Linked DNA regions of Arabidopsis thaliana. The protein of the gene in region 1 interacts with the protein of each later gene in a biochemical or structural test. Each region holds a gene or a part of one and is shown on either strand. Other genes may lie near its edges.

Evidence for each region.
Region 2: of the proteins of GSR 1 (region 1) and CRK3, one has a biochemical effect on the other in vitro, tested with the Arabidopsis thaliana proteins (one study listed by BioGRID).

The regions. Positions count from the first base shown.
Region 1 is NC_003076.8:14,932,710-14,937,958, forward strand, and holds GSR 1 (uncharacterized protein), read right to left. Parts: upstream 3,177-5,249; 5' UTR 2,948-3,176; coding exon 2,874-2,947; intron 2,466-2,873; coding exon 2,426-2,465; intron 2,338-2,425; coding exon 2,234-2,337; intron 2,132-2,233; coding exon 2,083-2,131; intron 2,004-2,082; coding exon 1,809-2,003; intron 1,727-1,808; coding exon 1,523-1,726; intron 1,447-1,522; coding exon 1,355-1,446; intron 1,275-1,354; coding exon 1,115-1,274; intron 1,018-1,114; coding exon 865-1,017; 3' UTR 577-864; downstream 1-576. UniProt on the Arabidopsis thaliana protein: High-affinity glutamine synthetase which catalyzes the synthesis of glutamine from ammonium and glutamate. May contribute to the homeostatic control of glutamine synthesis in roots.
Region 2 is NC_003071.7:19,182,072-19,188,760, reverse strand, and holds CRK3 (CDPK-related kinase 3), read left to right. Parts: upstream 1-1,948; 5' UTR 1,949-2,330; coding exon 2,331-2,873; exon of another isoform or gene 2,874-3,150; intron 3,151-3,663; coding exon 3,664-3,794; intron 3,795-3,981; coding exon 3,982-4,023; intron 4,024-4,126; coding exon 4,127-4,235; intron 4,236-4,324; coding exon 4,325-4,403; intron 4,404-4,490; coding exon 4,491-4,787; intron 4,788-4,871; coding exon 4,872-4,981; intron 4,982-5,070; coding exon 5,071-5,178; intron 5,179-5,268; coding exon 5,269-5,331; intron 5,332-5,405; coding exon 5,406-5,573; intron 5,574-5,655; coding exon 5,656-5,793; 3' UTR 5,794-6,108; downstream 6,109-6,689. UniProt on the Arabidopsis thaliana protein: May play a role in signal transduction pathways that involve calcium as a second messenger. Serine/threonine kinase that phosphorylates histone H3 an GLN1-1.

The DNA.
Region 1 (5,249 bases):
TTGTTTTTTTTTCTTCCTCAAGTTTTGTCAGACGCGAAGAATCCTTAAACCCTCGAGTATAGTGAAGTTGCTCACCAGGTGTTCGACGAAATTACTTTCAAATCATTTGGTTCGGTTCTTCATTGGTCCAAATTAACCTGAACCGAAATAACTAAAATTGATTTTAACTATATTTTCAAACTTTAATAAAATATATTAATCCAAGCTAAATGTTCAATCAGTGATTCTAAATTATGCATTAGAATTAGTGTTCAACAAAACGCTAGGTGCTAAACGGGTGGTGACCTTCTGCTTAGTGCCTAGAACGCTTAGTCGGAACCTAAACATTTTAAACGGTTTTAGAATAAAATGATATCTATTTATATACTACTACATGAAATATTAGAAAAAAACATTATAAAAAGCATTCTTGAAAACGAATTTAAATTTAACATTTTAAAATAAGATAAATAAAATAATAAAAGTATAGTTATCTTTATATATAATTTGAAATATTTATTTTGAAAAATTAAAAAAATATTAATATACATTTAGATCCACCTAGCCTGCCCCGCAAACCAGATTAATTTTCATTTTAGTTGTTATCTTATATGAATCAAAATGCAAAAAAAAAAAAACAAATTCTGGATCTTAAGTGGTGAATGCATGCATTAGTAAATAAATCAGCCCTTTTAAGATAATGTTTATTCATAAATAATACACAGAAATGTTTTCAATAGGATGTGAAGTAAATAAAAAGCAGAATAAGCAGAGCAAATCTTTGACTTATCCTAAGACATTGCTTGATAGAGAACACAAACTTTGAATCTTGCAAGAAACACAAATTTGAGTGACATTCAAGATTTTTTCTTGATCTGATGATCATCAAGGATTCCAGAGGATTGTAGTCTCTGCAATCATGGAAGTGACAATGTAAGGATCCATGTTCGAAGCTGGCCTCCTGTCCTCAAAGTATCCTTTCCCTTCTTTCTCCGTATCACGTCCTACTCGGATCGATGCTCCACGGTTCGCAACACCCTACATACAACATTCCAACACACAAAAGAATCACAAAATGTATCGTAATTCGGCTTTTTTACTATTCGAAAACCCGCAAAGATGTTTGTTAGTATACCCAAAGGAAAGTGTTGATGTCAGCAGTCTCGTGGTGTCCTGTGAGACGACGCTCATTGCCTTCACCGTAAGCAGCAATGTGTTCTTTGTGTCTCAGTCCCAATTTATCGATTGCTTTCTTGATGATCTCGTAACCGCCTTCTTCCCTCATTGACTTGGTACTGAAACAATTACCATTTTGGTTTTATGAATCAGCGAAAAGACCATAAAAGAAAACATTTAAGAGATTCTTGACATGTACCTGTAGTTGCAGTGAGCACCAGCACCGTTCCAGTCACCGGGAATCGGTTTCGGGTCAAAAGATACCACTACACCAGCAATCTCTGTGATCCTCTGTTTTAAGAACAAGCTAAGTGTTACTAATCAAAAACTACATAAACAAACATTGAAGTTATAACGTTAAACTTACCTCCAAAATGTAACGAGCGACCCAAATTTCATCAGCAGCCGAGATACCAACAGCTGGACCGACCTGGAACTCCCACTGACCCGGCATGACTTCTCCATTGATGCCACTAATGTTGATCCCAGCGTATAAGCAGGCCTTGTAGTGAGAATCAACAACATCTCTGCCAAAAGATTTGTCTGCTCCAATACCGCAATAGTACGGTCCCTGCAATACATTTTCGCCTAAAATTTTAGAATAACCGACAACGGAAAAGATACAAAACCGATTATATATCCATCTTCTTCACCTGAGGGCCGGGATAACCACCAATAGGCCAACCAACAGGCCACTTCACATCTTTCTGGAGTAAAGTGTATTCTTGCTCAATACCATACCATGGCACTTCAGCTGCAACATCAGGGTTGCTAAAGACCTTAGCCGCAGCGTGTCTTTTGTTAGTCGGGATTGGTTCACCCGCGGGAGTGTACGCATCGCACATGACCTGATCAAAACCATTAAGTTAAGATGGATGTAATAAAGCATGGCTGCAACAAAAAAGGTCAAAACTAAAAGAAACTCACAAGAATGTTGTTTCCTCTACGGAAAGGATCCTTGAATATGGCTTGAGGGCTAAACAAAGATGTACAAAACACAAAAGATTAGTAAACAAGAATCGAAAAAAAAACCAATGAGAAGAATCTGATTTAAGATCAAGAAAGAAAGATTATTAACTATAAGATGACTTCACTGTCTTCACCAGGAGCTTGGCCTGTGCTTGAACCATCATAGTTCCACTTTGGTAGCTGCGAAGGGTCAGTCACTGGTCCAGGTAGAGTCTACATATATAAACCAGAATTACTACCAAAAATAGAGATAGACAAAAGTTGACCTTTTCACAAGATTATCTAGAGAATGAAAAATTACCCTGGCTTTGCTTCTCATGTCCATTCCAGAACCACCAACCCTGATTTGGTATTAAAAGAACACCAACAAGAGACAAAATATTTCAGAAAATTCAATCGTTATGTTTAAAAACAGAGCCAAAAACAGAGCCAGAACAGAGCCAAAAAACAGAGCAAACATCATCAGGGGATAAAAAGTTTTGCAGTATTGGCAGATTCAGGAGCCTAATAGATTTATCAGCAAATTAAACATAGATCTGAAGAATAAACAAAACCAAATTGGCTCTAGAGGACTAAGAACAACCAAAGGCAGACACAAAACCAAAACTATAATCCATACAATCCCAAAAAGTAAAACAGAGTCAAAAGTTGAAAAAACAACACGAACCCATTAGATTTAGGTTTGATACGAGAACATATACACAAACAAAAAACGATTTTTATGAAAGAAACAAAAGAAGAAGACGAACCATATGTATTCAGCAATGATTTTGTCAGTGGAGTCTGAGAGGTTAAGGTTGATGAGATCTGAAACAAGACTCATGGCTACAAATACCAAGGGTTTGGATGATAGTAACAGTAATAAAAATGGAATCAAATCTGTCTCGTGTTTTGATATTTTGGTAGAGAGAGATATGAAGAGTAGTACTTATAGAAGGAGGAGGGGTGGGTGCAGAGATTGAGGAAGAGGGTGACGTGAAGACTTTGGAGACTTTTTGGCTCTCCACAAGGAAAGAAACAAAAAATACAACTAAATATCAGGAATAAAATTATAAAGATTCTTTCGCGGCCCAATGGAATCTCATATTTTTCAGGAATATTAAAGTTTACATATATAGACACACCAGGTTACAATTTTGTATGAGGTCATTGGAATAAAAAGAGAAAGAAATGTAATTATTTAAGGTAAAAATCTCTTTCTGTAAATGCTAAAATAAAATTTGGGAAAAATATTAATATTCTTAATACTACATTTTCTGTGTTATTGATTTTTAAATTATTAATTTTAATTGATACAAACATAATATGATATAACAATATATTTTTTTTTAATATGTGTAAAAAAAATCTTAAATGATATATAAAACAAAACGGACAAGTATAATTGATATATTATTTTATTTGTGCAAAATATATCAATAGATTTAGTATAATAATGTTTTAAACGGTGATTAGGTGGAACCATAATTAAACACTCTAATCATCTTGAAATTAGTATTTGTTTTCTAATGCAACTTACTTAGATTATTATTTTTAAACGAAATTCGCTTACTTAAATTTAGTATTAGATCGAAACCATTTGTCTCACATCTCCGGTTTCTCTCCAATCATTTTATGGGGTTTAAGGTCATTAATCATAAACAAGAATCAAAATAAATCTTTCCTTGAGGAATTTTGTGAAAATATCACGGTGTCATATCAATATCACAAGGTCATTGTTTTGTCTATCGAATCTTCGATCATCTTGAATCTATTCTGGTTTTTTTCCACAATGACTTTTCAACACAAAATATTGTTCTTACTTGACAAGAAAACGAGTACCAAAGAAACCGGAGATACTCTAAATTCTTAGCCATACAAACCCAAGTAAACTATCTAAAACCAAAGATTTTTGTTTTTGTTTTTTTGGTTTATATTCAACTTTATTAAAGATAATGAAACTCAAATATATATTCCGATTAGATAGTTGAGTTGACTTTGTTTTGGGAGCATGTAAGAGGACGTTTATGACGGGCATCGGTTGACTCGGCCCACAACCGTAAGAGTTGAAGTCTAAAATTGTTGACTTTTTTTTTAATTTTCTAAAAATATAATTATTTTTGACAGTTAAAAGTTAATTTCAAATCATATTTAATTATTTATTGAACACACATCTAATATATTCTTTGCAATTATATGATAACTTTTCATTTGAACAAAATTTGTAGTATCAATTCAACGTAGCTCCAATTAGATGACTACAAAGTCTGACATGTGGGATTTGTAAGCTTATAGTTTTAGAGAAGTCATAATGTCTTTCGATAATGTCTTTCGATAGAAGGTTCAAGCCAAAGACATCGATTGATTCGACAAAATTATCAAGATATATCTATCTTCTTATATAAATTCAAGATTCCGGTTAAACGTCTCAAAAGAGTTCTAATCATAAACAAGAAATTCAAAAAACTCTTCGGCTCAGAGGAGAGTGACCAAGAATTTTATCTTCTCCAGGAAGTCATTATTGATACGAATTTTTCTTTGAAACCGAAGTTCCTAAGAGTCAGATATAATTCTCTCATCTCAGTCTCCATTCTAAATTTTGAGGGAGACTGAAAGGGGATTAAGATGAGAGAATTAGGGTTCGGAGATTGAGAGAGAATTAAGATGATTCAGATATTTTCTTTCTAAAAGGAGAGAGGAACCAAAAGAAAAAAAATGTAGCGTGGATTAAGAGTTTAATTGAATATATTTTCTTCTAAATTGTAAATAGGATCTCCAAAACGGAAATGATACGAAAATTTTAGAACTTCTATATAATTTTTTTTTTATATCTTCTCTATGTCTCACTAATTTAGAAAATATAATAAAATCGTTTGATTTTAGTTAACTATGCTTTGGGAAAGATGTAATTTATTAAATATTTAAGAGAATAAACCAGAAAACAATTAACTACTTTTTAAACGATGGATATATAAATCAGAAATTAAAAATAGAGAACCCAAAGTAATAACATAATTTAATTTTTAATTTTTAATTTATATTGGATTAATATATATTCTAAATATTTGTGGTATTATATATTTATTTATATTATTTTTTTGTGCACCCAATTTTATTTATATTTATATTATATTTTTGTAGTAGAC
Region 2 (6,689 bases), on another chromosome or scaffold:
ATGGTAAATATTCAGCTGAATGACAAAAAAAAGGTTATATTTCTCAAAGTTGGTTCATGTTTAGGATTAGGCCTAGAAGCGGGTTGATATTGGGCCTATACTGGGCTGAACTGTTTTCCTTTGAAAATTAAGGATAAGATCTACATTGTGAACGACAAGCTGGGCTCGATTGTTTCGGGCTCATAAGGGGATATTATTATTATTTAATCAATTTCTGCAAAATATTTACCAACATAACTTAAAACAAATTCTAACAATTAGGATGACAACAAATCTACCATTTTTTTCGTGGTTTACCATTTGTTTAATTTACGAAGTAGTTGTGAAAATAAACTTGAAAGGAAATATTGTGTCGTATAAGTTATAACTCATTTTTGAATGGTGAATTTGATAAATATTTTTAGACACATGTTTATTATATTATCAAACTGCTGACAAGAAATATATTAATATGAATGAGCATTGACCATTGGACATAAATCCAAACGAAGAGTTCTTAAAACATACGCTATGATATCAGATGACGGTAATAACAAATTAATACATACGCTAAAATTTACAGAAAATACAAGATTTTTTCACTTTCTCTATTTTTTAACGAAATATTTGTCGACTTCTGAGGTAATCGATGTTAGCCTTGAGTTTTGTAATTTGTATAAAAAATGTACTCCAATCACAATAATTTTGGTGTATAATAAATCCAATTAAACTAAACAAATGCATGTTGTTGGACTTACTTTAAGTCGGTTCAATATTTTGTAAAATACCATAGAATATTGAAGGTGGATTCTATTCCCCATTTACATTTATTTATTTTCCTTCTATTTTCGACATACTTTAAAATTATATTATTACCCATTTGTTCGGCTTTATGGACAATTATTGGTGTAAATGACCATATATTTCCTAATGTCTGCTGATACAAACAAACGGTAACTTCTAAACTTTCAATTTGTTTAATTTATTACATCAAGGTTTATCTTTCAAAATAAATTTAAAGAAAAACTGCTTCTTACCTATTTGATAAGTTGATAGTAATGTTTGTGTTAAATCTCCTCATAGACGTCGCTTTACCTATTAATTACCACTATAATTTAATTTCATAATTGGATTTAGTGTCACCCTAATTTTAGTACGAGAGATCTCTAAAGAAAAAAGTGAAAACACAATCACAGAAAATTATTACAATTTTTAACAAGATTCTAGTATAAAACATATTGATTTCAACGTAAAGAAAATTTAATCACAAAGAAAAAAAACAATAACTTTGTAATATTGTATCTCCGTGTGATTGCTTTACACATGGATTTATTTAATTAATTAACAGATAAAACATATTAATTCCAACTTCTTCTTTCTTTCTTTTTTGGACAAAAATTTCAACTTTTTTTATAATATAACTTTTGTGTCGAAAATATATACTTTTCCTGAAAAAGAGTGATAACTAATTAAAAAAAAAATGTTTAGAAGTACAAAAGAAAAGTATTGTTTCCAAATTCGAGAAAAAGCTGTAATCACGCCCTTGTGTTTAATTCTCAATAAATCACATTTAAAAGCGATTTTTTTAACGGCCCAGATATTGTCACGTAGGATAACGTACTCCGTATATTCTCCATTTCCGAACCATCCGACCAGGTCGCATCATATGTTGTGAAAAAATCGTTATGGAAGAAACTCTGTTTTAGTTAGATCCAATAATATTAAGCCACGTGGAATTGATGAATCCAATCTTCTTTATAAACTCCGTTTTCGGAATTTTGATTTTGTTTAAAATGTCTTACAAATTTATATAAGGAAACGGCAAAAGAGCCCAAAAAGTAACAAAAGACAAAACAATTAAAGGAAAAAAGAAAGAGTCAAAAGAACTCGAACTATCATATAATAAGAAAAGAAAAAGACATAGGACAAAATAAAATATATTCATATTCACAAAACACAAAACAAAATTGTTAATCAAATAGTATAAGACTAAAAATGCCTGATTAGGGGAAGGTAGTTGTTGTTGAATAGTGACTAGAACGAGTTAAATGGTTTGAGATCTCCAAGTTTACATTTCAACATCTCAGATTTTAATCCAACGGTTCTCAATCCTTCTACTACGTAAAAACACCACCGTCCCCGTTCCGTTCCGTTCTGTTCTCTCTGTCACTTTTGTCTCTTCTAAGTTTTTAACACTTACCTTGTCGTCTCTGTTCTTCTTCTTCTCTCATTCCTTTCGTTTATCGTTTTCTTCTTCCAATTTTGGATCTCTCTTCCTTTTGATCTGATTCGTTACTTGCTCTATGTTGCTTCAATTTTGAATTCTTTTGATTTTTGATTGTGTGGGGGAGATGGGGCAATGTTACGGGAAGGTTAATCAGAGTAAGCAAAATGGTGAAGAAGAAGCTAACACGACTACTTATGTTGTTTCCGGCGACGGGAATCAGATTCAGCCTCTAACTCCGGTTAATTACGGTCGAGCTAAGAACACTCCAGCTAGGTCATCGAATCCGAGTCCTTGGCCTAGTCCTTTCCCTCACGGATCAGCGAGCCCTCTTCCTTCTGGTGTTTCTCCTTCTCCGGCCAGAACTTCCACTCCGAGGAGGTTTTTCCGACGGCCTTTCCCGCCGCCTTCTCCAGCCAAACACATTAAGGCTTCTTTGATCAAACGTCTTGGAGTGAAGCCTAAGGAAGGTCCGATCCCTGAGGAGAGAGGAACTGAGCCGGAGCAGTCGCTTGATAAGAGCTTTGGTTATGGCAAGAATTTTGGTGCTAAGTACGAATTGGGGAAAGAAGTGGGTCGAGGGCATTTTGGTCATACTTGTTCTGGCCGTGGTAAGAAGGGAGATATTAAGGATCATCCTATTGCTGTCAAGATCATCTCCAAGGCTAAGGTTTTAAATTCTCAATCTTTTGAACATCTAGTTTTTGATTTTGGGATTGCTTGCATTGGTGTTGAATTTTAGCTTATATTGTGATTTGTTTGTTGCTGATGCTGCTACAAGAATCTGTGGAGGGTTTTGAAATGTGGAACGAGTAATGCTTACATTTTCTCGTAGTTGAGGTAGTGAAAGTAAGATTCTTGGGTTTGGATAATGGCTGTGGGACAGTGAATTGTCTTTTTCTTCCAGCTGAGTCTCTTGAGACAAACAATGTTGTCTCTTTTGATAGGTAAATTTTTTGTTTGGCAGTGAGTTGAGTAGACAAAAATGTGAACTTTTTGTTGATTTGTCAGCATTAGGACAAGGATAGTCATCAAAGAATGAGTTTCATGTACTAATGTTTATGAGCTTTTCTTCTGCAAACATTTGTTTGTTCGAAGCTTGTAATCACAGTTAGGTTACGTTTTGATTACTTAGCTGTTGATTTTGTAAGAATGTTATGGTGTTACATGTGATATTTGTTGTCTGTTTCATCCTTTTTTGAAAAGATGATTCATGAAAAACGTAACTAGAGAAGTCTTTGTCTGGCTGCGTCCTGGGGAGACCATAATCTGACATTCCTTTTGTCTGCATTAGGACACAATGTTTTATGTATGGGCTTCACTTTTGAAAGCTCATGATTTTGGCTTATCTTTGTAATGAAGCTGGTCTGACACATTTTGGTGACAGTTGTGCTATCCTTCTCTCTAATAGAACAAGCAAAAAGGATTTGTTGACTGAATTATCTTTCTGTACTTGGCAGATGACAACAGCAATTGCAATTGAAGATGTTCGCAGGGAGGTGAAGTTACTGAAATCATTATCTGGACACAAATATTTAATCAAATATTATGATGCATGTGAGGACGCCAATAACGTATACATAGTCATGGAGTATGTCTTGTTTCCATTTTTTTTTATCAGATATTTGATGTTCTCTCTTCCTCAGGATTTTGGCTGTTACTTAAATGTTGTAACACAGAACATCACTTCTGAACTGCATTTCTTTGAACATATCTCTGTAATCAGACACACCTTGTAAACCAGTTACTTAAATCGATGTTTGGTTCTGCTTGACCAGGTTGTGTGATGGTGGAGAACTTTTGGACAGAATTTTAGCAAGGTATGTCTGATTACTCTTTTAGGTGTTTCTCTGCATATGCCTCAAGTTAAATGCTGAGAATTTATTCATATCTATGCTCAAACACTGCATTCTCTTGTCTCAGGGGTGGTAAATACCCGGAGGATGATGCAAAGGCGATTGTCGTACAAATTCTAACTGTTGTTTCATTTTGTCATCTCCAAGGAGTTGTGCACCGTGACTTAAAGCCAGAGGTCTGTTTTTACAAAGAAAACTTTCCCTATCTCTACCTCCAGTAGCATTACACATCATTACTAAACACTCCTGTTACCTTGTTCAACAGAATTTTCTATTTACATCAAGCCGCGAAGACTCAGACTTGAAACTTATTGATTTTGGTCTCTCAGACTTTATTAGACCTGGTAAGACTTTTCATTCTTTCAGGCCTTGTCACTATACTTTCCTTATAGCTGCCTACTAGTGAAATTTGATTGAATTCCTCAATGCAGATGAAAGACTGAATGATATAGTTGGAAGTGCCTACTATGTCGCGCCTGAAGTTTTACACAGGTCATATAGCCTTGAGGCTGATATATGGAGTATTGGAGTTATTACATATATACTCTTATGTGGAAGCCGACCTTTTTGGGCACGGACAGAATCTGGAATCTTTCGCACTGTACTAAGAACTGAACCAAACTATGATGACGTACCTTGGCCTTCTTGTTCATCAGAAGGTAAAGATTTTGTGAAACGACTTCTCAACAAAGACTATAGGAAGCGAATGTCTGCAGTTCAAGCTTTGAGTGAGTTTTTTTTTTCTTTTTTTGACACATCATTGAGTTATATTATTTTGAACATTACAGAACTAATGATATGTTTATTTTCAGCTCATCCGTGGTTACGGGATGATAGTCGTGTGATTCCTTTAGACATTTTGATCTATAAGTTGGTCAAAGCCTACTTGCACGCGACACCTCTTAGACGAGCTGCTTTAAAGGTATGACTTTCTTCTTCTTCTTCTTTTGGCACAAAGTTGGTAAGAGTTGATTTAGAAGATTGAAGCATATGTTTAATAATTGAATCTAGGCGCTAGCAAAAGCATTGACCGAGAACGAGCTAGTCTATCTTAGAGCACAGTTCATGCTGTTGGGACCAAACAAAGATGGTAGCGTCTCTCTCGAAAACTTCAAGACGGTAAGTTACTTAATCTGAAGGAAGGCCTTTGGTCAATAGTCACATCGGCTTTTTTAAACTAAAAAGGTTTAATAAGCTCCATCCTCGCAGGCGCTTATGCAAAACGCAACAGACGCAATGAGAGAATCAAGAGTTCCTGAAATACTTCACACTGTGAGAACCTGAGAACAAATTTGAGAGAAAAATGAATCAATCTTTTGGTTTCTAATGATCATCTGTTTTGGCAGATGGAATCTCTAGCGTATAGGAAGATGTATTTCGAAGAGTTCTGTGCAGCAGCAATTAGCATCCATCAACTAGAAGCTGTTGACGCGTGGGAAGAGATAGCAACGGCAGGTTTCCAGCATTTTGAAACCGAGGGAAACCGAGTGATCACAATCGAAGAACTAGCAAGGGTATGGTGTTAAATGTAATCCTCTCGATTCATAGGACCGGTGTTTGGCTTCGGAACTGAATTTGACTCTGGTTATTGAACAGGAACTGAATGTGGGTGCGTCTGCGTATGGACACTTGAGAGATTGGGTAAGAAGCAGTGACGGGAAGCTGAGTTACTTAGGGTTCACTAAGTTCTTGCACGGAGTTACTCTTCGTGCTGCTCACGCAAGACCTCGCTAGTCCTTCTCTAATTTTAGGTCTTTTTCTTAATATTTTTTTTCTTCATCAGAACAGAGCAAATAGACTTCTGAGAGAGGTGAGGGGTATTTTCGTCCGTTTGTTTTGTTCTTTATCGTATTATAGAGTTTCAATTTTATGGTACAGAAAAGACCAAAATGAAAAAAAGATATAAACATGTGCATAAGGTAGATGGGTTACAGTCATTTTTTTGCAAGTATAATATATGAACATCTATGGTTCAAGTAGTCATATTGTATGTCAATTGCTTTTAACTTTTACATTGTTTCCTCTAAGCAAATCACTTCATCATCATCATCTCCATTACAACAAATCCTTAAGAATATCATTCATACCATTAAAGAGGTCTAGCATCTAATCAAACGATTTTCAGGCCAACTACTAATTCTACATAAGGCTATTATGAAGGGTTAAAACTTAAAAGCAAAAGACAATAAAGTAACGCTGTCCTAATCAACAAATTAAAAAATGAAATGAAAAGTGATAAAACAACAATTAGTGATAACCCAAAAAAAAGCTAAGCCTTTCCTTTTCTCAAATGGTGCCGACAATCGAATCATAACCATTTATTACAAATCATGATAGTGAGATGAGTGGGTTCGATCGTACCCATTAGTCTACGGAAAACAGGCACTCTACAGGTGTGATAGTATATATATACAGCCCAAATCATGATACTTTTCGCTTTCTTAAACTAATTGTTTCACAAGTATATATGTTTTAATTTAGATAGTTATATTTAATATAAATGAGATTAGATTGTAGTACTGCCCATATTTTTTTGTAGAATGTATACAAACTACAAAGATATCAGTAAGAAGATAGGATCTTCTTGGTTTCATCCTTTTTACTGTGTGATATTGTGATTGGTGAAATAG